Linked DNA regions of Lepisosteus oculatus. The protein of the gene in region 1 interacts with the protein of each later gene in a biochemical or structural test. Links are inferred from orthologs where the notes say so. Each region holds a gene or a part of one and is shown on either strand. Other genes may lie near its edges. The genes, in order: lats1 and mink1.

Region 1 (15,294 bases):
ACGCAGTTTGACATAATTGAAACATTGCATTATGGATTACACAAGATGTAAAGCTAAATTTCATCAGTGTAAAAATTAAAGCTGACACCAATAAGACTGCCTGATGGGGATAAATAGACTAAAACAAATAAGTGCTAGGGCAGAGCCTTGGGAGACACTTGAAGAGAATGGGGCAATTTTGATTAAAATTATTATCTGCAACAAATTGTCCCAGGTTTGACAAACAGACCAAGGCCGTCTCTGTACCGTATGTACCGGCTGGTTAAAAACAGAGGTCAAATGAGATTGTAACTGAATGGCGACTAGTTTCTTTATGATTTTGAATATTGTTGAGCATTTGAATACTACAATAAGTTTCCAACCAAACACTTAAGAACGCTTAAGATTAAGTCAAATGAACGATATCATTTCAGTAATAAGCTGCATGAACCTGATGAACATGGGATCTAGTGTTCATTTTAGTACGATACTAGATTGCGTCTATAGAAAGAGTTGGACCAACTCAGTTGGGTTCGTTGGAAGCGAGGACATTTTATTATGGAGCCGTGAGCTATTTTCAGCAACTGAAATTCGTTGCAACTGGTATTGACCTTGGTGGGTACTAATGGGGACACTATAGTGTAAAAATAGAAGACGGAATCTTCCTCGATAAGTACAGTCTTCAGTTTAGTTGCCATTGACCACCTGTTAAGCTTGTTGAAAATGTACGGAGACATACCATTACTGGTGTAAATAGTATATGTGATCAATTAAAGATGCCATTAACAGATGACATGAAACACAATATAGGAAATATAATAACAGAGCATATTTTCAATCTCATTCAACTACGATTTTGTAGATATTTTTCATGTTTCTGCAACCGTATTTAACCATGTGAACGACACTTGTCTTCGCCGAGGATCCGTACTCACGTGACCGTCTTGTGAGCCGGAAGAGGAGGAACTGACGGGATCCGGGGAGCCGCAAGAACAGTTCAAATTTAAATGATATTTTAATGTGAGCTACAACAATAAAATAGCATTTTAATGGAGTACATAAATGCCAAATTTGTGTCTCAGAAGATCAGTAAGACACGATGGAGACCGGTGTCTTCTGCATCCCTCCAAAAGCCAGATATATTCGCTACAGGGTCTTGGGATAACGAGGTAATTTATAGAGCTGTAATAAGCATGAAAGAAATGAATGGATGTCCTTTCGAAAGCAGTTTTGTTTTCGTAAAAATTATAAGTCTTTAACTCAAGACACGCCAGATTAAGACCAAGCGATAAAGCCGGTGTTATGTTACATTTCACGTTTTACTAGGTGGAAGTCGATCCTGTATCCCCAGCAGATTTGAGCACACTACTGTCGTTGCTTCCAACTCTTTCTCAGTTTTTTGTCTCTCGTTACATTGAAAACATTGAATATGTCTGACTTGATTTGGTTCTGTACTTCATTTTGTAATTGTAAGGCAACGTGGCTCCGTACGGGACAAGCCAATAGGCTCTACTGTTCAGCTTTACAGAGAAGTGAATGAAGCCGTCACAGCGGCAGTTATTAAAAATTCCTCACACTTACAGTATAGAGCGCTTTTCTGGACACTCCACTCAAAGCGCTTTACAATAAGTAGGATCCCCTCCACCCCCACCAGTGTGCAGCCACACCTGGATGATGTGAAGGTAGTACACTCCCCACACAGCCGCTCTCAGTGGGGAGAGCTAAGTAATGAAGTAATGGAGATTATTAGGAGACCGTGGAAAGCCCTGAGATTTTTAAGTTTTAATAACCACGGAGAATCAGGACCTCGGTTTTATGTCTCATCCGAAGGATGTCATTTTTTCTTTACACTATAGTGTCCCCGTTACTATACTGGGGTATCAGGACTACACAGACCGCAGGCTGAGCGCCCCCTGCTGGCTCTACGTATACCTCTTCCAGTAGCGGCCTTAGCTTTCGCAGGAGTCTCCCCACAGGTACTGGCCAGCCTCACGCAGCTGAGCTCCAGTGGGCTGCCAGCTGTGAGCTGCAGGCAGTTGTCATGGTCGAGGGGTGTTTTTACATGCGGGATTACCTGATAGAAAGGAATATCTTCTTGAATGCCACTTTTGCATCATTGTGCCAGGACAATAAAGTTTCCATATGGTCTGTGGGGGAGCTTAGCGTCACCAGCATGGAGGATGAGTTTGAAGGAGACCCCCAGCTACTGTGTGACTACCGACATGGCGGTGATGTCATGGACCTTCAGGTACACTTGTTCTTCATTCGTTTTTCTATCTGGAAATATGTTGTACATTGTTTTTTTACTACGATTGATCATTGGTCATTTTGAAAATTTCTAAAAAGGGGCAGTAACTCTATTTTCCTCTTTCATATTCTCTCAAGTGAGGTGAATAATGGAACTGTGGTATCTTAGCAGACAGTTTAGAATTTTCCACAGAAGGAGGTTTCAGAAAAAAACATGGAAGGGCAGTACTAGGGCCAAAAGACATTTTGTGGGAACTAGTATGAAACATCATTCATATTATGTATGATATCAGACACTTTGTGTTTATTCCTGCTTATGTTTGGCTGAAAATTCTAAAGTTGTATTCTCTTTTAGATTATGTCGTATTGATTGTATAACATGTCTAAAAGTAAACATTTTTGTGTGGATACAGAATTTGCCTCTCCCCAGGCAATGGGTACAGTACAATGGGTCTTGAGCATCAGAAGAAAATTCCTAGTTAACAGGCCATAAGTGACATTCCACCTTTCTTTGAGTACATTTGAAGTAGTAATATCAGGCACAACGTAAAATGTTCATACATTACTGTGTGATGCCGCGATCGCTCAATATCAAACAGCGTCACTGTTCCTCAACCTCGGACACATTTCACAATTCTTCCAGAAATGCTTTGTAGGAATGATGTTTTATTCCTGTGAATGTAATAAATCCTTTATTAATGTTGCTTTATCCTTTATTCTTCTTTCGATGTGTTACTGGAGGATTATGTAGGTCAGCCTTCAAAGCAATATACTTTTCTCTCATTCTCTGACCTATAAATGTTAGTTGTGAATTAAACCTTGGTATAGACTTAGCTTGGTTTACTCTTTTTTTATTCGTGTTTATGACCATTTTACATGCCCTGTAAGGCACATTTATTTTCTTGTGATGTTTCTTTTAGTTTCTGGACCATGAGAGAATTGTTACAGCTTCATCAACTGGAGCAGTTACCATCTTCCGACACCATCACAACAGCCAGGTAGATCTGTCTTTCCAATGCTTTCTTTCAGAGTTTAGACCTCATTCTGTTTTGTTCTTTCAGTTCAAAACTTTTTTTTTTTGGTTTTGCTGTCTTTCAGACTGTGTTTCTGTTTTACTACTTTTGTTCTCTTCTTTGAGATTCTCTGGAAATGTGCATATTCCAAAGAACATAATATTGAGTTTGATTGTAGTAAAGACGTTATTTCAGAATGTTAGAATAGGATCATGTTAAAGTTAATCTGACTCTGAGTTCTTCTGTGTTGCTTATCTTAGATCACCCTGGAGGGATGAAATTAACTTAGCTTTGGTTTTGAATTATATCTTTTACTCTCTGCTTCAGAAAAGCATGTTTGTGCATGTTACTGGCACTCCAAAATATAAATTTTTAATTCAATATTTTCATCATAACTAAGTTCCTCCGAGGTACAGTAGCTCGCCTTATCTCATGTTAACTCCCCGAATCTACTACATCGCTCTTCCCATCTCTTCACTTTGACTCTCTGAAATGATTCTCAAAATATAAAATGTAGATGTTCCCAATATGGGTCCTGACCTGCTGCTTGTATAACAGACCTGGACAGAAATGGCCTGTTGGCCTCAGACAAGCATGAGTCTTTGGAGTAAGATAGAATTACAGCAACTGAAAGGAGTTTCAGTTGTTTCCTGGAGGAAAAGAGTCTCTCTGAACTATCTCTGTTTATCTCTTTTTGTGTGATCTTTCCACAACAGGACTTTGGCAGTAAACATTCCATAAAAGTCAAGTTAAATCATAATGACAAACTACCTCAAAAAACAGGCAAACCTCCTCTGAAGCTGTTATGTTTGGATGATGGTGATGTTTTGTTTTGTTTTTAAATCAGGGATTACAAGTCAATCCTTTTTTCCAAAATGTTTTCCTGTAGACCCTCTCTGTGGCTCAGCAGTGGAGTCAGGCACACTCCTACTCCTGCGGCAGTGCCCCTTGTACAGGTGTGGTTTGCAACAGCCCAGAAATTGTCTCGGTTGGAGAGGATGGCCGGATAATTCTCTTCCGAGCGGACCATAAAGGAGTCATACGTACCATAGGTGTGTACAAATTCAAAGCTCACAGTTGTCTTGAAAACAGGTTTAATACATTTTTGATTTATTTATAAAAACGTGCATGCTTAGACATTCAAAGGTATTCAGTCTGCCATGCATTCATGTATACTGGTATTTGTGGTTGAAGAAGGAGCTGCTATTTAAACTGTTCAGTTCACCCACATTAACAGCGTATTTTCCTTCCTTTTCACAGACAATGCCGATAGCAGCACAATCCACGCTGTAACTTTCTTAAAGACAACAGAGGTCCTGACAGTCAATTCTTTTGGCCAGTTGAAATTATGGGACTTCAGGCAGCAGAGAAATGAACCATCACAGATTCTATCCTTGTGAGTTCACTGGTTGTTAAAAATACTCTCAATTAAAGTTTTGAAGAGAGCCTACGGCAGCTCACCATTTTTTAGAAATCTACAAAATATTGTTAACCCCATATTTAATTTTTGTGAACATATTCAGATTTGAGCTATAATAGGCAGGCTTGGAATGCACATTATGGAAAAAATGGAATGCATAACTACGTTCTGTTAATCTCAGCTGTTTTTCCACCTTACAGAACTGGAGAGAGAGTGCCCCTACACTGTGTAGACAGACACCCCAACCAGCAGCACATAGTGGCCACTGGGAGTCAGGATGGCGTGCTGTGCATCTGGGATGTCAGACAGGGAAGCATGCCATTTGCGCTGATGGAAGCACATTCTGCTGAAAGTTAGTAATGGCTTTACTTTGTATCAGCCCGTCTGTTTTTTAGCGAACCGCCAGATACTTTTAATACCTTTCCACTAGATGACGGACATGCTGTGCAGACGTTATGGTTGTTGTATTCGGTGAGTGCCGTAAAGGTAGGGAGAAACTAACGCTGCTCTTTTGCGTCCCAGTGTGGGAGGTCCACTTTCACCCCTCTAACCCGGACCACCTGTTCACGTGCTCTGAGGATGGCTCTCTGTGGCACTGGGAGAACTCCACAGGCACCGACACCCCCTCCTTCCTGCAAGGTAAGGGTCCCCGTTTGAAAAGGAGAGGGAGAGGCGCACACGTCTGTAACCGGGTTTTGACCGAATAGAGCCTCGTTTTTGTTAGGACGGAGCAGAAGGCTCAGACTCAACCCCTTCTTCATGGCGAGGAGCTCTTGTCATGTCATGTTCGGGTCTAAAAGTAATGCGTGCGCTACATGGTTTATAAAGGCCTCAAGTATAAAAGTTACTGGATAAATCTGAACAAGGAGTATCATTAAGAGGTACAAACGCACAAAATATTCACCACTTTTTTTTAATAAAAATTGCCTTAGAAGCATACAAGGGACAGTACAGCATTGCAGATGTATCATTCTGTCATAGAAGTATCATTTCCTGTACATCTGTACATCTATGACAGAAGTCACAAAGCATTGATTCCTGAAGCAGGAAGTTAATATCGGATTATATACTATTCTTTTCAGCCCATTCTTGACATTTATTTTCACCTTGGGTTCTCTGGAATGTGAAGGATAGGCAAAGCGCGACCAGTGCATTTCGATATCGAGATAAGAGAAGATAAAGATGACAAAGCTGACGTGCAGTATTCTTATACAAACAACCTCTTCTAGTAAAGTCACGTACATAACCAGTGCAGAAGACAAACTAAAAGACGTGATTCACTTCTTAGTTCTTTGTTTAGTTGTCCGAATTAAGAACTTAATAGCTTTGGAGCTTAAATAACATACTAGGAATAAGGAGTCACGGGGGTTAAATGATTTTGAAGTGAAATATCTTCAGTTTCAGAATATAATGCACTGCAGGACCTTTTCCTGAACAGGTGGTTTCTAACTCTGCGTGGGGTGGATCCTTGTCTCTCCTGGCTGTTGTTCCAAGTGAGATTTCAATTCCAAACAGCCTTGGTATTTATTTATTTAACTGAACAAAAGAAATGTAGATTAACACATTTCCACTGTTAACACTGCAGTTAGAATGTTAGGGAAGGTAAGGTAGAGCAAAAACCAGACGCTGGAATATTAATTTCAATAATAAAGGATTCATTTTTGTTTTCCGAAAAGGTGGGAGGAACACTACCATCACGTCACGCAGCACAGTTGCCCCTCACAGCATCAACCAGTCCTTGATTAGCTCCTGGCTGAGCAGTGACTCTTCCAAAGGCCGTCTGGAGACGACAAACATGCTTCCTGGCGAGACAATGTCTGTGAACAGTCTGGACGTGCTGGGGCAGCACCTGGTCTGTGGAACTGATGGAGAAGCTATTTATGTCAGCAGACATGTGCCAGTATAACAGAAGGCAGGCTTTGTTCTGTATTGGGGCCCTCAATAGCACACACTTCACTATTGCATCTGGTACTGGATGATTCCACACAGCTGTCTTGATAGTTAAACAACTGACTAGTCACTCGGGAACCACTTATAGAGAACATGCTTCTCAAGGCATCTTAAACAGTACTGGTCCTTTTCGGGCCGTAGGGATTTACAATTTCATCCTGTGCTCATCTCGCTAATATAAAGCAGCTGACAATTTAGTAAGCATGTCGAGGCCTACTGGAGTGTGCTGTTGAGGGCTGGAAGTGAGGAGCACTGTTCTGTTTAATCCCTGTCCTGTTTGGAAGCCAGGAAAAATAGTTCAGTAATGAAAACTGCAAAGCGAATAATTCTTTTTGTATCACTATTTTTTTTTAAATAAACAATCTTTGCAAAAAGCTCTTTGCATACAATGTTGATGTGGAAATGTATTTTTGTTAATAACCTTACATTATTTGCTTTTAAAGCTCGTTTTTAGAGTAGCCGGTCAAATGATTTACAGGATGGGACTGATATGTATGTGCTCTATAATGGCAATGAGGTAAAAGTAATGTTGTTTTTTGTATTTATCTGTTTTCCACTATACACGTTTGTTTAAATGTTGTTGCAACATTCACAAAATTCCTGTTTAATATTCATGATTTTGAACAGCCACTGTTTAACCGGCTCTAGAAACGTATTTGTAAATTAGTTCAATGCTGGTATTATCCGTTGACCCACAACATATGATAACAGGGCACTGTACAGGGTAAAGTTTTAACTTCACACAGGGGAGTAAAAAGATTTGAAGCCAATTTTATTATTTTTCCGCTGTCTTTTTTCTTGAATTCCAAGTGCTGTAGTTTCGACGGCCGTCTCCAAATAGATAGTTCGGTTGTCTATCTGGCGAATACAAGTAAGAATATCGGTATAAAGTTGATTTGAATGAACTTCTCAAAAAAATGCAAGCAGGGCCGGTGTTTTCAATGACAGTCTACGGCAAAATCGTGTGGATGCTGGTAACCGCATTTGCTCCAGCTTAGAAGCGCCTTGCTTGTGATTCACTCTTCATCATCTGTCATAACTGATGTCTGCAGTTTGCAGCCCTGTCTTCATCCCACGACACCCCAGTGCGGTAACTGAGCTGAGCACCGGCGGATGCTCTTCCTATCTCAATGGTAGAGACCGGCTGCCCAATCCAAGCCAATGACAGGACAAGCCGCAGGGTTCGCCCCAGCATGCGTGACGAAGATAACGAACTCAAAAACGGACGCGTAATTTTACGGACGGCGAAGTGCCTCGGGTCTCGGAGGCTCCGACGCTTGTGGCGGTCAGGAATGAGCCGGTGAAACGCCAGCACTGGGAGCAAGAGCGGCTGTGGGGTTGCGGAGCTTGCTGGGAAATGGGAAAACCCTGCACATCCGGGCTCTCGGGGTGACAGACGGCTGGGCTCTCCGAGCGACTCGGGGACGGGAAAAGCAGGAAAACCTTCGGGCGCCGATCCTCCGCAGCGGAGCGGGGCCAGCAGACACCGGCAGCCGGCGATCCTCCGCGGTCGGGCCCGCTTTGCCGCTCGGAGCCGCGTCCGGCGATGAGCTAGAAGCCCGGGGGCCAGTCGGTGAGTCCTTTGTGAGGCGTCCCTGTCGGTTCCCACCAGGCCCCGGCGGCGGCTGTAATCCGAGTCCGGACTCTGCGTTTGCGGGGATGGGGGGTGGACGAGGTCGGGGCGGTTGTCGCCTCATGTCCGGGCTACAAAGAGACGGGGGCCACAGGCCATGTGAGGCTTTCGCTCCCGGTGTTGGGACAACCTGGCCTTTTTTTTTGTTAATCCCCCACATATGAGGCGTTGTCTCTTTATTTATGGCCACACCTTAGCCAGGCCCGGAGAGGCCTGGACGAGATGGGGGAAGCCTGGGATTGTTCTGGGAGCGAGTGCCGAGGGCTGGGGCGAAGCGACGGGGAAGGGTAGCTTCGTGTGCCCCTGGTGCTGGCGGCTACTTTCTGCGGTGACAATGTGGAAATTGTCACCTGCGCTGATAAGGACACCCAGGGGCAGGCAGCGAATAAGGGATAGGGGCCGGTAGGTGCCTTTTCCACTTCACAGGGCGCTCTGTTTGGGGTTGGTGCGGTTTGCTCTGCGGTGGCATGAAATGACTGTCTAACGCCAGGCTGCGATGCCCGTGTCGTGGCCGAGCAACGCCGAAAAGATGTTGATGTGGGTCCGACAGGTTTTTGGGTCTGGCTCCGAGTGACTTCAGCTATACTGTGTGCAAGGTGTTTTAGGAAAATAGGCTTCTATACACGTCAAGGGGGTTGTTTTGTGTATCGTTTCGATATGAGAAATTTAGAAAGTATTTATGAATTGAAAGGGTACATTGTAAAAAATATCGAGGTTGGTGCCCGCCAGATTTATTGTAGGCGCTGACATATCGTAGACACAAGCGTTTTGTCGGCGAATAAACACTCGTACATCTCTTCACCTTATTTGTTCCACAGGTGAGATAAACGTTTCTCTTCTCTCGTTGGCACTTTTATGTGGTGAAGTGCTTCTGATTTTTCTTTTATTTTTTGTTTTGTTTATGTTTCGTTTATTTCAATGATCCCATCTAGAGAAGGTAGAAAAGTGTTTTCCCCCCACAGATGCCTACCCAGCCACACTATAGAAGCTAATACCCCGACTTCTATTATCAAGCACCTGGTCCTAGATCAGATGACCTGATCAAATAGCTACTTACAACCAGGTGGTGACCTCAGATTCCTCTGTTCCTGACAGAAGGTTTTCCTGGGAGAAGAATGTAATTTCCCGTCATGAAGTTAAGGAAGTTAACGTTTAAGAAGTTCTTTCGTGGATCCTGTGCAGGTTTATTCTTGCTTTTAAAACAGGTGATGATTTTGGAGAGGTGTAGCACAGCTCTGTCCTTGACGGGTCGGCCTCATTACGGTCATTGAATTGGGCTGGACTGTTCTGTTGCAGATGTGCCTTCTTCCGCGGAGCCCTGGAACAGCAGGCGTGTCGAGGAGAAGGAGCCCCGTGCAGCCCTCCGCTCTTGCCCGCTAGCGACGCCCCCTGCTGGCGAGAGTGTGGTGCCCCACTTCGCCTTGATTGCCCACGTACATGTTCTTTCATGAAGAGAGGGGAGAAGCCCGAAGGATACCGACAGATGCGGCCCAAAACCTTCCCAGCGAGTAACTATGGGGGCAGCAGCCATCAGATGCTGCAGGAGATCCGAGAGAGCCTTCGGCACCTCTCCAGGCCCTCGGACGCCCCCAAAATGGAGTCCGGTGCTGCTGGGAAGGGGCCGGTCGAAGACCCCAGGCAGCAGGGGAGAAACAGCAACCCCAAGTTCAACACGTACCACAAGGCTCTGCAGGAGATCCGCAAGTCCCTGATGCCCTTCGCCAACGAGTCCGGCTCCTCGGGCAGGGGCACCTGCGAGGTCAACAAGCAGATGCTAATGGAGTTACAGAACGCCGGGTTCGAGGAGGTAAGCCTGTGTTCCGAGCAGGGTGCTTTTTACAGCGTTTTCTAAATCAGAGGCGATTTATTCTGGTTAGCAGTTTTGGGTTAATCATGGCCTGTGGAAGCCCTGGACTTGGGGGGGGAAGAAATTGTTCGGTTAATAATGAAACCCCCCCGCCCTTTCACAACAGCACACAGAGTATCTGCATGCGGAACAGGAGAAGGCACACATAATTACACTTGATTACATTAGAACAACAACAGAGAGATTACTGAAACACCAGGGGATAACAGTTCACCAATAATGTTCATTTTTTTCTCATCTTTGTTAATAGTATTTCTGTGGTGCTTGTCACTTCTTTCTGTTTTTTGGTTGAGTACAGTTAGATGGAAATTGATTGATGTGCACTGGAGAGTTAGAAGCTCTGAACTGTAGGACGGGATGTGTTCTGCTGATGTTCACCTTTTTTACCGGGCCTTTTTAAGTAGAGTGGGTCGTATTCATGCTTTGAAGCCATTTGCTTTGTGCCCTGTTTCCACTTGCTGCGATTGTGTTGAGCTATTGGAACGATGGTATGTGGAAATACTTGATCTACTATTGTTTCCATCTTCAGGGTGTAATTTTGTCCTCTCCAGAATGTTCAAAGCAGACGTCACTGGGAGTTATTTCATTCTTACTGAATAACATCATAACACACATTTCTAAATGTATTTAGAATATGTACACTGATGATGATTAATGTAGATGGGACAGAAAGTCATATTGCACATTCCAGTTCAAAATATGTTCAGCAATTTTCTCCTTGAATACTGGAAGTCATTAATCATTATCACTTTAATTTAAACTTGTTGTGAGGATCTATGCTTCAGAGATCTAATTTCTAAATATTCAGAACTTGCGTATGGAATTGTAAAAAACATCCATTAGTTTTAGCATTTTAATGTATTGTACTGTGTGTGACTACAAAATTCCAATTGCCTTGTAGTGAGGCAATTATTTTGTACAACAGCCTATTTCAGCTTAATAGCTACACAAGACATTCAGTGCACAAAGTTTAGGAAATACGATGATAACAGGTGCCAGGGCTATTTAGTGGCTGTTTATGGCCCAGAGGTGAGGCCAGAGGATCCCAGTAAAACAATATGAAAAGTACCCAGAATGAAAAATGGCAGAGGAACGGCAGTAATGTAATTGAAAGAGAGCTCTGTGCCAGCAGCATACTGTACGTTTATCTACCTGTGAAATCATGTGGCCCTCTGTCATGCAGATGGTTAATACTGTCCAGAACCTGACACAGGTATAGAAAATTCAGCAAACTAGAGTGAAGCTGGTAACGTGGCACACGTGTGCATCGGGGAGCTCTTTTATACTGCTCTGGACTGGCTGGGCTTGCTTGCTGTAAGAAGTGCTGTTCAATATCTGAGGGTGAGCACCTACTCAGACAAGGCAAGATCTTGCCATCTCATTTTCACCTTGGCACTTTTTATTCTTCCAGAGTGTTTACCTACACTAAAACAATTAACTAGGGAGTCATACTGAGCCTTGTTCAGACCTGAAAGCAACATGAAAATAAAACACAGCAGCAGTGCAAAGCATTATTTGGATGTCTGACAGAAAACGGGTTGTTGTTGTTATCTGTCATTTAGGACTGATTACTGATTCCATTTCATGATATTGCAAAACTTTTTTTTTTACACGATTTAGCATGGCTAACATCTCTTAAAAGCCCACCTGATTTCAAACTGCCAGTTGTCTTTATTCCACCTCGGCTCCAGCGCGCAGGCAGACTCCTTGTCTGTGTAGAGCTGTGCTGGATTTTGTGTGGACTGAAGCCCTACAGCTCTATGGTGCCTGTAGCCCTGGGAGCTGTTGATTTATCCCAGCCCTGCCCAGTGACTGTCAGCTAGTGACCTGGGCTCAAGCCACCTCATACCATTCAAACCAGTTGGGACCCTCAAGGAAACATTTTCTATGAAGACAAATTTTGGATGTTGGGTTTAGGGTTTAATCCCACAGCTTTAATGTCCTGAGTTTGATTCTGGCTTCAGGCGTCTGTACGGAGTTTGCATGTTTTCCCCTCATTTGCATGGGTCTTAACTGAGTGCTGCAGTTTCGCCTACCTCCCAGTTCAGGACGTCCTGCTTGGGTTTCATTGGCTTTCGCCAGCTGCCCTGTGATGGCGCAGTGTCCTGTAGGGAGAGAGCAGCAGTATGTCCTTCGTCAGGATAAACAGCTTGACGTTAAGGTGGGGGGTGTTACTTTCGTTCTGCTCATGTTGTTTTTATCAAGTATTTACGCAGACTGTTTTGGACGGAGAAGATGTGGTAGCAGAACCTCTCGCGTCTCTTGTGATACTTGGCGTTCTGCCCTGCAGGAGATGGTCATCCGCGCTCTGAAGCAAACTAACAGCCGGAGCGTGGAGGCGGCCATCGAGTACATCAGCAAGATGAGCTACCAGGACCCGTGGAGGGAGCAGATGGTGGCCGCTGCTGCGCGGCCCATCAATTCGGGCGTGAAAGCTCCGGGTGGGTATCTGTGCTCTGGGTCCAGCGCCGTGTTCATGCCTCGCGTTGCTGCCTTTTATCTTGCACCCCCATGAGAAAAATCAGCACTGTCTTATCGAAGCCCAAGGAACAGCTCAGTTTGTCCTACTCTTCGCTGCGTGAGCTTTTACTAGTGTTTCCACACACCTGATTACCGCTGCAGAATGCTGTTTCAGATAGACAGGTGCAGGAGTATAGTTTGTCTTCCATCCTTCTGTTTTCACTCTGATGTTCCTGGTGAGGGTCACCGTATTCGGCTAATCTTTGTGAAAATCCAGGAATTTCTCCTCATTTATGTTTGATAACAAAGGATGCTATTTGGGTTTGAGTGTGCTGAAAATCTGCTTTAGGTTTATGTACAATGTGAAGCGTATGTTTTCTCTTTACTGCTGTTTAAGAACCATGCTATCTTTTCTTTTTACGTGTGCTGTGAAAAGCACTCACTAGGCATTCCCCTTCTTTGTTGGTCCTGGACCTTGACCCCGCGCGTCACTGTGTTTGATGTTTATCCCTCGCAGGTTCGGGTCACATCCAGCAGCCTGTGCTCCGCAAGCAAAGCTGGAAGGGTTCCAAGGAGTCCCTGGTTCCTCAGAGGCACGGGCCCCCTCTGGTGGAGGGGGTGATGTACCGCTCCGACAGCCCCGGGCCCCCAGCGGAGCTGGGAGGGCGCCCCCCGTCGGGCTCGGGGCTCGCGGCCTTCTCCCAGGGACACCCGGGCAACGGGCAGCGGGTCAACCCCCCCCCTCCTCCACAGGTGCGCAGCGTCACCCCTCCACCCCCTCCGACCAGGGGCACCACCCCGCCCCCGCCTTCCTGGGAGGGCAACCCCTCCACCAAGCGCTTCTCGGCCAACATGGAGTACCTGGTGCACCGGATCTCCCCGGTCCCCCAGGGGGCCTGGCCCGACGGGTACCCCACGCCACCCCCGCAGAGCCAGAGAGGGATCAGTCCCGTGCCAGTGGGCCGCCAGCCCATCATCATGCAGAGCTCGGCCGCGAACAAATTCAGTTTTCCTTCTAGCTGGGCGCAGAACGGCTCGGGGCAGCCTGACTACGTGGGACACCAGAACGTGGGCAGCGGCCGACAGCCTCCCCCTCCTTACCCCGTGAGCCAGGGCAGCAGACAGAGCCCCACGGCTTTACAAATGCAGGGCGGTGGGCCCGCGTCCTCCCCCTCGTACGTGAACGGCGGCAACATCCCCGCGTCCATGATGGTGCCCAGCCGGAACAGTCACAACCTGGACCTTTACAGCCACGGCATCCCCGGCTCCTGGCCCCAGCCGCCCCCTCCCTCCGGCCAGCCCCAGTCTCCCCCGGGCGGGAACGGCCACGAGGTCCCCCCGCCCTGGCAGCACAACATCCCCGTCCGCTCCAACTCCTTCAACAGCCACCAGCTGAGCGGCCGGCAGGGCTCCCAGCCGTCCGCCACCACGGTGAAGGCCATCACCCAGGCGCCCATCCTGCAGCCCGTTAAGAGCATGCGGGTGCAGAAGCCCGAGCTGCAGACCGCCGTCGCCCCCACCCACCCGCCTTGGATGCAGCAGCCGCCGCCCCCCAGCCCGTTCCAGGACGGGCCCCAGCCTCTGGGTCCCGGGGCCGCGGTGGCCGCCGAGGTGCCCAGCTACCAGGGCCCCCCGCCGCCCTACCCGAAGCACCTCCTCCAGCCGCCCGCCGCGCCGTCCCCCTCCTACGAGTTACCGGCCATGGCGGGCTGCGGCAAGGAGGAGCAGGGGCCCGGGCCCGGCCGGAAGGAGCAGCAGCAGGAGGAGGAGGCGGCGGCGGCGGTGGGGGCCGGCGGGGGCGGCTCCGGGGACCGGGCGGAGTCCGCGGAGGCGGGGGGCAGCGGCGCGGCGGCCGACCGGGAGAAGAAGCAGATCACCACGTCCCCCGTGCCCGTGCGCCGCATCAAGAAGGACGAGGAGCGCCGAGAGTCGCGCATCCAGAGCTACTCCCCCCAGGCCTTCAAGTTCTTCATGGAGCAGCACGTGGAGAACATCCTGAAGAACCACCAGCAGAGGATCCGGCGCAAGAAGCAGCTGGAGAGCGAGATGCAGCGGGTGAGCGCCGTCTTGATCGCGTCCTCTCGGGCAGCCCCCCCCGCCGGCGTGGCCCCAAGACGCTCCCCTGCGTCACTTAACTTTCATTTCCCCGTCCCGAACACTTTTCTTGGCATATGCAGGGCCGTCCTCATGTCTGTCGAAATACACTTGTGACTCCTTTAGATGTACCATGTTTTCTACTGTAATCTGTCATTTCTCGTCATCGTCTTTACCGTGTAAGTTGTAATACTTAAACGCCCCCTTTTTGAGTGCCTCCGAGTTTCTCCTTGATGTTGTTCATGTGAGAGATGAGATGAGATCACTTTATGGGCCGTATACAATTTCTTGTATTAGAAATTTGTCTTTTCACAGACCCCAGCTTACTCTCTATGAGACACACAGACAGGGAGAGAAGCTGGGGGTCAGAGCGCAGGGTCAGCCATTGTACAGCACCCCTGGAGCAGCTGGGGTTAAGAGCCTTGCTCAGGGGCCCAACGGAGTAGGATTCCTCTGCCTCTAGTCTGAGCTTTTGAATTACTTTGTGGTTTGCGCAGGCTTGTTGGGAAAGGGAGATAAGTTGAGCTGCAGATGGTTAACAGACACTTCCCGACGTTCAGTACAACACCTGTTGTTGGCATCATGCTGCAAAAAAACGCCAAAACATGATGCATAAAATTTTTTACTAGGT
Region 2 (15,294 bases), on another chromosome or scaffold:
CTCACGGAGCGAGCTGGGGGGAATTCCCTCCATCTCCTGCTGGTAGGAGGAGGTGAGGCTCAGGGGGGGGGGGGTCTGGCCTTATCACACCTGACCCGGGGCAGAGCCAGCACGCCGGGCCCAGGCTGGGTCACCGGGGCCGAGCCTAGCCGGCCCGCCTTCTCTCCACAGCACTGGGAGCGGCGCAGAGGGCACACACACCATCCCCAGGGGGGCTCACTTGGAGAGCAGGGTCCCGTCACCCGGAGGCCCCCCCGCCTGTCGCTGTGAGCCGCGACGGAGAGGAGACCTGGCGCCTCCACGCCGGGAGGGGAGGCCGCTCCTCTTGAGCGCAGCTCTGCAGAAACAAGAACTGGGCCGGGGCTGAGGACGCCTTTCCCCCCACATAGTCCCACATCCCAGACAAGACTGCGGGGGGCTTGGCTACAGGGAAACGGAAAATCAGCCGGGGTCCGAGGCCCTAGGTGGAGATTCAGGGACGGAGAACAGGCGGGGGGGGTAGTGGGGGATTTGGGAGCTGCGGAGCCCTGGGGTGCGAGCAGATTCCCTGGGATCCTTCGAGGAACGACTGAACGGGCGCTTGGGGAGATCCATGAGGGAGACGCTCGGGACCGCCCTCACGCTGCGAAGTGTTTTATTTCTACCCCAGCTGCACCCTTGCGCCTCCCGGGGAGAAACGGCAGGGACATCCGCCGTCTCTCTCTCCACCAGGGGGGGGTGTTTCAGCGGGAAGCTGCCCCGCCCTGGGCTCGTTTCACTCCCCCGGCACTTGAACTAACAACGAGCTCGGGTTTCCGCTGGGATCGCCACGGCAAACCTGAAAACGGGCCACGGGTAGCCGAATCTACACCTTCGGCCACCTTGCGGCGGATGAATCTGCTTCCCTGTCGCTCCTGCTGCAGGCCAAGCGCGCCAGCGCGGCTCTGTCAGAGTGTGTGTGTCAGTGTGGCGGGCGGTGGGTGGTAGGACACTATTAAACAGCAAGACCTGATTAATCATCACTCTGTTCCAAAGAGATCCCTCTCCCTCTCTCCCTCCCACTCTCTGCCCCCTTTTTTCTCTCATTCCATCTCTCTGCCTGTGTCTCCCTGCCCTCTCGCTCACCGGAGAATTAGCAAAGAACACAGCCTGAAGGAGTCGGGCTGAACCTACTGTACCACACCAGGGGGAGAGGGGACTGGCGAGGAATGAGCGGATACGAATGGGAAAGCTGCACCCCAGATTCTCGCTGCACTGGGGTCCGATAAACTTGATTTTACAGCGCTGTCAAACAGCTTCGCAGTGTCTGATCCGCTCCACTGCTTACTAACTGCAAGTGGCTCCCATGTCTTGAAACAACACCACCTGCTACAGATTACAAGCTTTATACCTTAATTTGGGTAAATTACTAGAGGTGGATGCATGTCATGCTTAAAATAACAGAATACCATTGCTGTTTGCACTGGTAGAAACCTCTAGTAGCTCCCAAACCCTGGAACAGATCAGCCTGCTGTGCAGTGGGAATGTGATTGAGAGCCCTGTAAAACCTGAAGTGGATCAGCCAGCTGTGCAGTGGGAATGTGATTGAGAGCCCTGTAAAACCTGGAGTGGATCAGCCTGCTGTGCAGTGGGAATGTGATTGAGAGCCCTGTAAAACCTGGAGTAGATCAGCCTGCTGTGCGGTGGGACTGTGTTATAGAGAGCCCTGTAAAACATGCAGTGGATCAGCCTGCTGTGCAGTGGGACTTTGATTGAGAGCCCTGTAAAACCTGGAGTGGATCAGCCTGCTGTGCAGTGGGAATGTGATTGAGAGCCCTTAAACCTGGACTGGATCAGCCTGCTGTGCAGTGGGTCTGTGATTCACAGATGTTTGCTAGCAGCTCAGTACTGAGCGGGTAGGAGTGGCTGAATGGCCTCCACTAGTTTGTAATCTTCCTTCTGTTGCAAAGGTGGAGCTCTCTATCACAAAGTTGCCCTGGGACTCTGGTTGATTTGTGGCAAAGCCTGGGCTCAAACTGGCCAGGCGTTTTTAAGCCTTCGGAGCAGCAGAGGCTCCTGGGACGCACCACGGTGCATACGGGCTGGAGCGATGTCAGCGAGAGACTCCTGTCAGGCACTGTGCAGCTTGTAGTGCTTCACATGGGCAACAGCCCTGACAGCCAGGCATGTCAGATGGAAGAAGAGCAGTTCTGCAGGAGCTGAACTCATAAGTCTGAGTCTTAAAGCAACTTTTACTACTGGAGGAGGCAGATAAAGAAACCGGTGTGAAATGTTCAATCCTCCCAACTGTAATCCAAAGTCCCTGAAACACCCATCAACCCCAGAGGAAGCTGGCAGAGCTATTAAGACAGGCACTGTCCGGAGGATCAAGAGCACCAGGAATGAGCTCATCTGTCCATCTGAGCATTCTCTCTGTCCAAGTGTCCACTCTGTCCATCTGTTTGTCCATCCAAGTGTCCACTTTTCCCATTCAACTAAGCTGTCTGTTTGTCACTTCAAGGGGTCTGTGTCCATCTGTCCATCCAGCTGTCCTCTCTGTCTATCCAAATGTATCAGAGGCACAAACAATTCAGCACTGGGGGACTATTTGTCCCTCCAAATGTGTCCATCTGTCTCCTTTCTCCATCCATGTGAGTTGTCTTGTGTGTCCATCTGTTCTCTCTGCCTATCCACGTGTGCTATCTTGTGTCCATCTCTTCATCCAAGTGGTCTGTGTCCATCTGTCCTTTCTGGCCATCCATATCTGCTGTCTTGTGTCCATCTGTCCTCTCTGTCCATCCACGTCCGCTGTCAAGTGTCCATCTGTCCTCTCTGTTCATGCACATGTGCTGTCTTGTGTCCATCTGTCCTCTCTGTTCATGCACATGTGCTGTCTTGTGTCCATCTGTCCTCTCTGTTCATGCACATGTGCTGTCTTGTGTCCATCTGTCCTCTCTGTTCATGCACATGTGCTGTCTTGTGTCCATCTGTCCTCTCTGTTCATGCACATGTGCTGTCTTGTGTCCATCTGTCCTCTCTGTTCATGCACATGTGCTGTCTTGTGTCCATCTGTCCTCTCTGTTCATGCACATGTGCTGTCTTGTGTCCATCTGTCCTCTCTGTTCATGCACATGTGCTGTCTTGTGTCCATCTGTCCTCTCTGTTCATGCACATGTGCTGTCTTGTGTCCATCTGTCCTCTCTGTTCATGCACATGTGCTGTCTTGTGTCCATCTCTCCATCCATATGGTCTGTGTCCATCGACACCTGCTGTCTTGTGTGTCCATCCAACCTCCATTAGAGTGTCCATTAGAGACCTGAAGTCCCATCGTTCACACCAAGCCTTTACCAGTGAAGAGGATGGATCATTGTCCAATTATCATGTAGTGTCTTGGTCAACCCCTTTCAGACCTGTGTGCTGTGGACTGGTGCTCATTTCAACCTGTATCGCTGCTTCTCTTCAATAAAGTAGGGATGGACCGATAACTTAAACATAAAACAGTGTTATTTCAGCTTCATCAGTGGAGGTTGTAAAAGTTCCTTCAGCAGCTGGTAAAACCTGAAAGGGATCAGACCGCTGTGCAATGGGAATTTGACTGGTTTCCCTGCTGTCGCTTAATAATTATTTATAATAAATAACTGTCTCCATATTCAAATTCTTTATTAAAACCACCACCATAGGCACTGTAATCTCCCAGGGTGTGTATTAACAATGACTAACGTACTAATGACTAATTACAAACATTCACAAAGACCGTCTGGGCACAAGGGCAAATTTAGCAATTTAGACTTATTACCAATCCTTTAAAAGTGGGGTCAACATTTCTGATGAGTTAATTACTTATTCCAGCTATTTATAACAGCAGGAGCGATATGAATAGCAGTGCTCACCTATAGAATCTTTCGCATGTTTCCTAATACGTTCAGTAAGAAGTCACAATCTAACAGTGAAACAGATCTCACTCCCACTCCAGGTGGCACAATGTTAACAATCACACTCCCACTGTACAGCAGTCTGATCCACTCTAGGTCCTGTAGTGATCTGAATCACACTCCCACTGTACAGCAGTCTGATCCACTCCAGGTCCTGTAGTGTTCTCAATCACACTCCCACTGTACAGAAGTCTGATCCACTCTAGGTCCTGCAGTGTTCTCAATCACACTCCCACTGTACAGCAGTCTGATCCACTCCAGGTCCTGTAGTGTTCTCAATCACACTCCCACTGTACAGCAGTCTGATCCACTCTAGGTCCTGTAGTGTTCTCAATCACACTCCCACTGACCAGCAGTCTGATCCACTCCAGGTCCTGTAGTGTTCTCAATCACACTCCCACTGACCAGCAGTCTGATCCACTCTAGGTCCTGCAGTGTTCTCAATCACACTCCCACTGACCAGCAGTCTGATCCACTCCAGGTCCTGTAGTGTTCTCAATCACACTCCCACTGACCAGCAGTCTGATCCACTCCAGGTCCTGTAGTGATCTCAATCACACTCCCACTGCACAGCAGTCTGATCCACTCTAGGTCCTGTAGTGTTCTCAATCACACTCCCACTGCACAGCAGTCTGATCCACTCCAGGTCCTGCAGTGTTCTCAATCACACTCCCACTGACCAGCAGTCTGATCCACTCCAGGTCCTGTAGTGTTCTCAATCACACTCCCACTGACCAGCAGTCTGATCCACTCCAGGTCCTGTAGTGATCTGAATCACACTCCCACTGACCAGCAGTCTGATCCACTCCAGGTCCTGTAGTGTTCTCAATCACACTCCCACTGTACAGAAGTCTGATCCACTCCAGGTCCTGTAGTGATCTGAATCACACTCCCACTGTACAGCAGTCTGATCCACTCTAGGTCCTGTAGTGTTCTCAATCACACTCCCACTGTACAGCAGTCTGATCCACTCCAGGTCCTGTAGTGATCTGAATCACACTCCCACTGTACAGCAGTCTGATCCACTCCAGGTCCTGTAGTGTTCTCAATCACACTCCCACTGTACAGCAGTCTGATCCACTCCAGGTCCTGTAGTGATCTGAATCACACTCCCACTGACCAGCAGTCTGATCCACTCCAGGTCCTGTAGTGTTCTCAATCACACTCCCACTGTACAGAAGTCTGATCCACTCCAGGTCCTGTAGTGATCTGAATCACACTCCCACTGTACAGCAGTCTGATCCACTCTAGGTCCTGTAGTGTTCTCAATCACACTCCCACTGTACAGCAGTCTGATCCACTCCAGGTCCTGTAGTGTTCTCAATCACACTCCCACTGTACAGCAGTCTGATCCACTCCAGGTCCTGTAGTGATCTGAATCACACTCCCACTGTACAGCAGTCTGATCCACTCCAGGTCCTGTAGTGTTCTCAATCACACTCCCACTGTACAGCAGTCTGATCCACTCCAGGTCCTGTAGTGATCTGAATCACACTCCCACTGTACAGCAGTCTGATCCACTCCAGGTCCTGTAGTGATCTGAATCACACTCCCACTGTACAGCAGTCTGATCCAGTCCAGGATTTAATGTTCTCAATCACAATCCCATCGCACCACAGTTAGAGACAGCAAGGTTCTATGCACTGCAGGAGGCTCTTGGGTAGAACTAGAAGCATCAGTAGACGTGCAGGTTAATCATTTCTTAAGTATGTCCACATCATCAACAGGTTGTACTGTTGTTGCTGCATCTGATAAAACCTGGTCCCGAGTCAAGATCCTCACGGATCTCAACCCTTAACTGACCTGAAAAGCTGCTGGAATGGAACTCGGAATGGAGATACTAGTGCTCCTCTCTCCTCTAAAGCTGAATTCCTGCTGTAGGTGGAGTCGCACTCTCAGGTGTGTGTGTGTGTGCCCCCTGCTGGAGGTGGAGTCTCACTCTCAGGTGTGTGTGAGTGTGTGTGTGCCCCCTGCTGGAGGTGGAGTCTCACTCTCAGGTGTGTGTGAGTGTGTGTGTGCCCCCTGCTGGAGGTGGAGTCTCACTCTCAGGTGTGAGTGTGTGTGTGTGTCTCCTGCTGGAGGTGGAGTCTCACTCTCAGGTGTGAGTGTGTGTGTGTGTGTGTCCTGCTGTAGGCGGAGTCTCACTCTCAGGTGTGTGTGTGTATCCCCTGCTGTAGGCGGAGTCTCACTTTCAGGTGTGTGTGTGTGTGTCTCCTGCTGGAGGTGGAGTCTCACTCTCAGGTAGGTGTGTGTGTGTGTGTCCTGCTGTAGGCAGAGTCTCACTCTCAGGTGTGTGTGTGTGTGTGTGTGTCCTGCTGTAGGCGGAGTCTCACTCTCAGGTGTGTGTGAGTGTGTGTGTGTCCTGCTGGAGGCGGAGTCTCACTCTCAGGTGTGTGTGAGTGTGTGTGTGTCCTGCTGTAGGCAGAGTCTCACTCTCAGGTGTGTGTGAGTGTGTGTGTGTCCTGCTGTAGGCAGAGTCTCACTCTCAGGTGTGTGTGAGTGTGTGTGTGTCCTGCTGTAGGCAGAGTCTCACTCTCAGGTGTGTGTGAGTGTGTGTGTGTCCTGCTGTAGGCAGAGTCTCACTCTCAGGTGTGTGTGAGTGTGTGTGTGTCCTGCTGTAGGCAGAGTCTCACTCTCAGGTGTGTGTGTGTGTGTGTGTGTCCTGCTGTAGGTGGAGTCTCACTCTCAGGTGTGTGTGTGTGTGTGTGTGTGTCCTGCTGTAGGTGGAGTCTCACTCTCAGGTGTGCATGTGTGCGTGTGTCCCGCTGTAGGCGGAGTCTCACTCTCAGGTGTGTGTGAGTGAGTGTGTCCCCCGCTGTAGGCGGAGTCTCACTCTCAGGTGTGTGTGAGTGAGTGTGTCCCCCGCTGTAGGCGGAGTCTCACTCTTAGGTGTGTGTGTGTCCCCTGCTGTAGGCGGAGTCTCTCAGGTGTGTGTGTGTGTGTCCCCTGCTGTAGGTGGAGTCTCACTCTCAGGTGTGTGTGAGTGTGTGTGTGTCCCCTGCTGTAGGCAGAGTCTCACTCTCAGGTGTGTGTGTGTGTGTCCCCTGCTGTAGGTGGAGTCTCACTCTCAGGTGTGTGTGAGTGTGTGTGTCCCCCGCTGTAGGCGGAGTCTCACTCTCAGGTGTGTGTGAGTGAGTGTGTCCCCCGCTGTAGGCGGAGTCTCACTCTCAGGTGTGTGTGAGTGAGTGTGTCCCCCGCTGTAGGCGGAGTCTCACTCTCAGGTGTGTGTGAGTGAGTGTGTCCCCCGCTGTAGGCGGAGTCTCACTCTCAGGTGTGTGTGAGTGAGTGTGTCCCCCGCTGTAGGCGGAGTCTCACTCTCAGGTGTGTGTGAGTGAGTGTGTCCCCCGCTGTAGGCGGAGTCTCACTCTCAGGTGTGTGTGAGTGAGTGTGTCCCCCGCTGTAGGCGGAGTCTCACTCTCAGGTGTGTGTGAGTGAGTGTGTCCCCCGCTGTAGGCGGAGTCTCACTCTCAGGTGTGTGTGAGTGAGTGTGTCCCCCGCTGTAGGCGGAGTCTCACTCTCAGGTGTGTGTGAGTGAGTGTGTCCCCCGCTGTAGGCGGAGTCTCACTCTCAGGTGTGTGTGAGTGAGTGTGTCCCCTGCTGTAGGCGGAGTCTCACTCTCAGGTGTGTGTGAGTGTCCAGGTCCAGAGCTAGGACCACTTCTTACTCTGACAATTACTCAATTCAGAAATACAAAAAACAGCAAGAACACAGACCGTGCGGTCCAACACGGGAGGGGGTCAGCCCACAGGCGCCGACCCCGGGAGACGGAATCTGAATTGTCCACACTGTAACGGTAACAGTTACACCAGCCCCCCCCAGCCACCCTCAAACAGGGCCCGTTTCCCCGGGTCTCTACGTGTTTCTGCCATTTGTCGTTTGAATTCGCGTCTTTCATCACAACCGCCGCCTCCACCATCGATTTACGTTTTGGGAAAATAAGGACATAGATATAAATCACGGAAAAACACGGTCTGATTTACAATCCACCCGGTACTTCAGTAATCCCCCGCCACGACCCCGGCTGTGTCAGTAACAGTCCAGGACCCCCAATCCCCTGTAATGTGATTAATATAAACCAGATTTAAACTGTCTGCAGCGACTAGCCGGTGCTGTTTAACCCAATAACCCTGGTGAGCAACGTTTCTAGCTGCTTGTTACGGATCATGTACACAGATGCGTCATGTGCAGAACTGGTGTCAGTCTGGGAGGCTGAGAAATATATGCATAAACGCAGAACACCCACATCGAAGTTGTAGAAAAACAGCAGCTACTGAGTCGCCCTTTGAGCATATTAAATTCCACTTCTGAGCCGATTAAACCCCCGAACACACACACATATACACGAGAGACTGACAGGCAAAGACGGGGAAATTTAAACGGGGGGACCAGCAATAATTATCCGTATTTTTACTCACCCGTAAGGCGGCGAGGTCGATGTCGTCTAAGCTTCTGGTAGGCGCGTTTTCAGACATTTTTGTCACAACAAAATGAAGTTAAAAATGAAGGGGTAAAAAAAATCCTATGCCGCCTTATCCAGCGTGGATTTTATTGCTGTGCGATAATGCCGGCCGTGGGAGAGGACACCTGCAAGGCTGCTGCGTATGGGGCTGGTCCTCGCTAGGTGAACGCCAGAACGGACATTTACAGGGTAAAATCCCGTACAGTACCCGGAGCTGCGCACCTCCGCCTCGCTGGGTGCGCAGTTAAAAAGCACTGGGGTTGTGTCGGTTCAGCACAAACTTGACAGTGTTGTTGTGGGGCTCCGGGGAGGGGGGTGCTCTCACCAAAACACCGAAATAATCGAGCCGTCTCTCGTCTCGTCGCGCTGCTCGGCGGCAGGGAGGGAGGGAGTCGAGATTGCGGACGGCTGGGGGTGAGCGTTCATGTTGGCAAGCCTGCCCTCGTCCTCGGCGGGCACCCCGGACCAGCGAGCAGGCAGATTAGCATTTAAAAACGCCAAAACGCCTGTCGGTTGACGGCTCTCGCCCCTACTCCCCGCCTTCTCTTATATAATCGATACGAGTCGCGGGCGAACGGGTCAGCAAGACGGGCGATTACCAGAAAATTCCAAGTTTTAGAAAATTCAGATCCCTTTTTTCCGAGGGTGGGGAGAGGTTGAGAAGAGGCAGCTCGCCGTAGCTAATTCACGAAAGCCAAGTTTCGCCCTACACTGAATGAGAGACGACGCGTGTTTTTAAAAGTCCTTTTTTACACCAAAACAATTCCAGAACTATTTTTTCTAAATAGCTGGTTCAGCTTTAACCTCCAACTTTCTGCCCGTCTCTCTCGTCCTGCGCTAACAGCCCGGATCGTCGGCCACCGCAGTCTCTCTCCGCCCCGCTCTGCTCTCTCTCTCCAGCAGAAGGCGACTTGAAGCTGACAAGGAAGAAGAAGAAAAAAAAAAAACAATTCGTGTCTCGAAAATAAAATCCCCCCCAATCGCCGCAAATCCACAGTCCTGCTCCTGCGACCGCCAACAAGCCCCGGCCCTCTTCGTCCGCTCTTGTCCTTCTGCTTCGCCTGCTGTTACTCCAGTGTTGTTTTCCTCGTCTGGTCCGTGCCTCTCTCTTGCAGTCACGAATACACACACACTCTCTCCATAGAGCTGTCTGTCGCTCCGTGCCCAGCTCTTCCTGGGTAGGCGAACTACGGCACCTCACCAGGGACACACCGCGCCGCGTTACAGCGAGGTCCGGTGCGGGCGACTTCCCCATCTCCCCCTCCGCGATGGTAATTTGTTGCTAGAGGTGGACGCGTCTCCAATATCAAATTCATAGTCATATGGAATATAGCCACGGCCCAATGCTATTTGGACATCAGCCCAAAGATGAGGCACCGTGTACATTTCTGGGCTCGGATGAAATTTCCTCGCCCGGACAAGTGAAAGGAACTGAATCTCTTTAGTGTTCCACAGGAAGGTCTAGGGGTCTTGGGCCAAGTTCAGAAAGTTACTGACTAAATCAACCACGACTGGACAGCATTGAGCGGGAAACTAAAAAGAAGCAAAGACACCAAGAGTGGTGGGTGTCTGGAACAGACAAGGCTGCTCTTGAAGCGGATTTCCTGGGATTTCTCCAGCAACCATGAGTAACAGGGACCAAATGAGCACCTCTCGTTTGGGACCTTATGTTTACTATGGCTGGGAATGGGGACTCTCGGAATTCAGGGAGGGGGAGAATTTCATTTAGGAATTTAGGGGTTGGGAAAATGGGACAGGACTGGAGGGTGGTTCATGTGAGATTTTCACATTTCTCCCTGCTTCTTATCCCTTTGAAGTACTCAATAAAGTTTTGCTGAAAGCTAAACCGAAGAAGGGCAAGGTACAGGGCCTCCGGAATGCAGCGGAACGACCGGCCACCGGCAGCACAGGGGAAGAGAGAGACTCTCCCCCCTCCCTCCCACAGGAGCTGGAAAAACAGGCCAGCTCAGGTGTTTCAGGGGCCTGCAGGACATGAACACTCCCAGAATTCCCACGCCGGAGACGGATGGGCTCCGCTCGCAAGGAAGCCTGAGGTGTCTGCGACGCCCTGCGTGAAGCAGGAAGCTCGTGTTGCCGACCATCTGTTCGGCTCTCTGATGTGCCAGTTGCTGAAAGGCCGTCAGGCTTGACTCAGCCCTCGGAGTCAGGAGGTGTGGAGGTTTAGTGATAACCTCAGACGAAACCTAGAGATATCTGGGCACCAGGGAGTGGCAGAAGTGACCCTTTGTACCCGATTAGACAATGGTAACAGACAACAAAATGCACTGAAAGGTGAAAAGGTGCGCCTCTCCCTCTCATCAGTATAAGCAGGTGTGGCCAGGCCATGCCAGTGAACCAGCCAGCTGGCTGTACTGTGCACCTCTTTTGCTCTCAACCTGTATTGTCCACTCACCTGTAGCAAGAGGTAAGAGAAGCTATTGTTTCTATTCTGCTATATTTCATCTCATTTATACAGCTCAACATTTCACTGAAGCATCTTGCTCACGGTTACAACAAGCACAATTCATTCTTCAGAGGAGCTTTTAAACCAAACACACACATTTGCAAGAAAATTAGTGACTTTATTAAAATTCACCTTTTCAGGTTTCTAGAATATAAAAATGTTAGGGTTTTAATACAATAATAAAAAGTTCTTAAAGACCAGAAAAGTTTGATGTGCAGTATTACATTGTAGTGCAGTAATTTAAAGCTTGCATTAAAAATCACCAGTTAAGACCTCTACAAACCACACCTCATTAGAAGTTTAATTGAATTCCAGATTCTACACTGCCTCCCTCTCCCACTGCCTGAGCTCTGAACACTAGCCCACACTGCCTCTCTCTCTCCCAGTGCCTCAGCTCTGAACACTAGCCCACACTGCCTCTCTCACTGCCTGAGCTCTGAACACAAGCGCACACTGCCTCTCTCTCACTGCCTCAGCTCTGAACACTAGCCCACACTGCCTCTCTCTCTCCCAGTGCCTCAGCTCTGAACACTAGCCCACACTGCCTCTCTCACTGCCTGAGCTCTGAACACTAGCGCACACTGCCTCTCTCTCACTGCCTCAGCTCTGAACACTAGCCCACACTGCCTGAGCTCTGAACACTAGCCCACACTGCCTCTCTCTCTCCCAGTGCCTCAGCTCTGAACACTAGCCCACACTGCCTCTCTCACTGCCTGAGCTCTGAACACTAGCCCACACTGCCTCTCTCACTGCCTGAGCTCTGAACACTAGCGCACACTGCCTCTCTCTCACTGCCTCAGCTCTGAACACTAGCCCACACTGCCTCTCTCTCTCCCAGTGCCTCAGCTCTGAACACTAGCCCACACTGCCTCTCTCACTGCCTGAGCTCTGAACACTAGCGCACACTGCCTCTCTCTCACTGCCTCAGCTCTGAACACTAGCCCACACTGCCTCAGCTCTGAACACTAGCCCACACTGCCTCTCTCTCCCAGTGCCTCAGCTCTGAACACTAGCCCACACTGCCTCTCTCACTGCCTGAGCTCTGAACACTAGCGCACACTGCCTCTCTCTCACTGCCTCAGCTCTGAACACTAGCCCACACTGCCTCAGCTCTGAACACTAGCCCACACTGCCTCTCTCTCCCAGTGCCTCAGCTCTGATCACTAGCTCACACTGCCTCCCTCTCTCTCACTGCCTCAGCTCTGAACACTAGCCCACACTGCCTCCCTCTCTCCCAGTGCCTCAGCTCTGAACACTAGCCCACACTGCCTCCCTGTCACTTTCCATCTTCTGATGCCCTTTTTTGTCCTCAAGTTTACAACCTACATTTGTTCCAATTCTTTTTATGTGTGTATACATTTCTTCCCCAATATCAGCATTTTTTTAAAATAAAATCAGCGGTTGCCAGGACAACGGCTGCAAAAGCTGCAGCGACGATGAGTGATTATAATTATAACACTTCGCCACCCCCTTTCCTCCTTCCTCTCACTCCTGTCCTCCTCTCCCCCTTCGCAAAATCCTGATCCGTCTCCTGCTAACTGTCTCCATAACAACAGCTCCGTGCATACTGGTGGCACGGTTCTCACTGCCTGACCGAGCGAGAGCGAGGAAGAGTTAGAGAGAGGTACTGTACGCAGAGAGAGAAACAAGCCGCCCACAGACTGCACAGTAACAGTACGCTCTGTTCCTCTCTTCTCTCTCAAACACTTCTCTTAACTGCCTCCCTCTCTGCCAGATAAGACTGCCTGTTACAGCACAGCTCTCCCAGTACAGCAAAGCACAGTGCAGTAGAGCACAGATCTGTATCCCACAGTACAGTACAGCACAGTGCAGTAGAGCACAGATCTGTATCCCACAGTACAGTACAGCACAGTGCAGTAGAGCACAGATCTGTATCCCACAGTACAGTACAGCACAGTGCAGTAGAGCACAGATCTGTATCCAACAGTACAGCAAAGCACAGATCTGTATCCCACAGTACAGCAAAGCACAGTGTAGTAGAGCACTGATCTGTATCCCACAGTACAGCAAAGCACAGTGCAGTAGAGCACAGATCTGTATCCCACAGTACAGTACAACACAATGCAGTAGAGCACAGATCTGTATCCCACAGTACAGTACAGCACAGTGCAGTAGAGCACAGATCTGTATCCCACAGTACAGCACAGCGCAGTGCAGTAGAGCACAGATCTGTACCCCACAGTACAGTACAGCACAGTGCAGTAGAGCACAGATCTGTACCCCACAGTACAGTACAGCACAGTAGAGCACAGATCTGTATCCCACAGTACAGCAAAGCACAGTGCAGTAGAGCACAGATCTGTACCCCACAGTACAGTACAGTGCAGTAGAGCACAGATCTGTATCCCACAGTACAGTACAGCACAGTGCAGTAGAGCACTGATCTGTATCCCACAGTACAGCAAAGCACAGTGCAGTAGAGCACAGATCTGTATCCCACAGTACAGTAGAGCACAGATCTGTATCCCACAGTACAGTACAACACAATGCAGTAGAGCACAGATCTGTATCCCACAGTACAGTACAGCACAGTGCAGTAGAGCACAGATCTGTATCCCACAGTACAGCACAGCGCAGTGCAGTGCAGTAGAGCACTGATCTGTACCCCACAGTACAGCACAGCACAGTGCAGCAGAGCACTGATCTGTATCCCACGGTACAGTACAGCACAGTGCAGCAGAGCACTGATCTGTATCCCACGGTACAGTACAGCACAGTGCAGCAGAGCACAGATCAATCCCACAGTACAACACAATGCAGTAGAAGACTGTTGTGTATCCCATAGTACAGTACAGCACAGTGCAGTAGATCACAGATCTGTATCCCACAGTACAGCAAAGCACAGTGCAGTAGAGCACTGATCTGTATCCCACAGTAGAGTACAGCACAGTGCAGTAGTGCATAGATCTGTATCCTACAGTGCAGTGCAGTAGAGCACAGATCTGTATCCCACAGTACAGCACAGTGCAGTAGAGCACTGATCTGTATCCCACAGTACAGCACAGTGCAGTAGAGCACTGATCTGTATCCCACAGTACAGTACAGCAGCTCACAGATCTGTATCCCACAGTACAGTACAGCACAGTGCAGTAGATCACAGATCTGTATCCCACAGTAGAGTACAGCACAGTGCAGTAGAGCACTGATCTGTATCCCACAGTAGAGTACAGCACAGTGCAGTAGAGCACTGATCTGTATCCCACAGTGCAGTGCAGTAGAGCACAGATCTGTATCCCACAGTACAGCACAGTGCAGTAGAGCACAGATCTGTATCCCACAGTACAGGACAGTGCAGTAGAGCACAGATCTGTATCCCACAGTACAGCACAGTGTAGTAGATCACAGATCTGTATCCCATAGTACAGTACAGATCAGTGCAGTAGAGCACTGATCTATATCCCACAGTATAGTATAGCACAGTGCAGTGCAGTAGTGCACAGATCTGTATCCCACAGTACAGTACAGCAGAGAACTGATCTGTATCCCACAGTACAGTACAGCACAGCGCAGTAGAGCACTGATCTGTGTCCCACAGTACAGCAAAGCACAGTGCAGTACCGTACAAGGGGGTTTGACAGTAAGTTCATGATGGAGTGTCAATAAAAAAGTACAGGTGAGCTGGGCTGAGTGTCTTTACAGATCTGACTGGACCTTACTATACTTTTACCCTGATTTCACTAGGATTTTATTGCACTTTACTGTTCAATGTTTTACAATATTACAGAACAGCAAACTACTGCAAGATTTCTTCTGCCTTGATATTTGCAGCATTTTCAAGGGCTGGGATGTTCCTTGGGAATAATTCCCCAGTCTTTTCTAGCTACTTATCGAGAATCCCTACATTCCAGCAAGTTTTCTCTGCGAAGGTTTCAAAGATGTTTTCTCTTCCATTCATTCCTTGCCAAAAACAGATACCACAAACATCGCGTCAGCGGCTTAAGAAAGGAATTCTACCGCAAACCCATAGGAACACCTTGATTGGAGCACCAGTAGCCACTGGAAGTGATCACGCCCAGGTCAGGAACAGTGGGGCGCCTTGTGCCAAGACAGCTGCTGTGTTAGTGTGTGGTGCACTCTGTGCTTGGTGGTTAGTGTGTGGTGCACTCTGTGCTTGGTGGTGTGTCCCAGCTTTGTTGTTCTAGTTTCAGGGAAGCTTGTTTTGAAAAAGCACAATCCCCCCACCAGCCCCAAACCAGATCTAATAGCCAGCATGAATGTTTTTTTCCACCCCGGGCAAATGTTACACTTGCCAGCGTTGGGAATCTGCACAAAGCTTGTATTCGTCATTAAGAGAAAAGCACGACTGCGGCTCCGTTACAGCTGCTACAGTCCAACACGCCATGGAGAATCAACCCAGCTGGCTGGGAACATGTCAGCCGACTGGAAACGGTGATGACTGATAGACACAGGGGCAGCGGTGAACTCCGCCAAAGAACTTCGATTCCTATCATTTTCGATGC

The links.
Region 2: of the proteins of lats1 (region 1) and mink1, one has a biochemical effect on the other in vitro, tested with the Homo sapiens proteins (2 studies listed by BioGRID). The link is inferred for Lepisosteus oculatus from reciprocal best matches to the Homo sapiens genes LATS1 and MINK1.

Annotation. Positions count from the first base shown.
Region 1 is NC_090697.1:4,925,617-4,940,910, forward strand, and holds the start of lats1 (serine/threonine-protein kinase LATS1), read left to right. Parts: upstream 1-7,092; 5' UTR 7,093-8,182; intron 8,183-9,538; 5' UTR 9,539-9,689; coding exon 9,690-10,049; intron 10,050-12,399; coding exon 12,400-12,550; intron 12,551-13,086; coding exon 13,087-14,624; intron 14,625-15,294. Other genes in the region: nucleoporin Nup43, read left to right, coding at 1,029-1,148, 2,105-2,227, 3,147-3,224, 4,129-4,291, 4,500-4,635, 4,860-5,011, 5,182-5,298, 6,336-6,565. UniProt on the Homo sapiens protein: Negative regulator of YAP1 in the Hippo signaling pathway that plays a pivotal role in organ size control and tumor suppression by restricting proliferation and promoting apoptosis.
Region 2 is NC_090698.1:10,003,833-10,019,126, reverse strand, and holds the start of mink1 (misshapen-like kinase 1), read right to left. Parts: upstream 9,547-15,294; 5' UTR 8,363-9,546; coding exon 8,306-8,362; intron 1-8,305. UniProt on the Homo sapiens protein: Serine/threonine kinase which acts as a negative regulator of Ras-related Rap2-mediated signal transduction to control neuronal structure and AMPA receptor trafficking.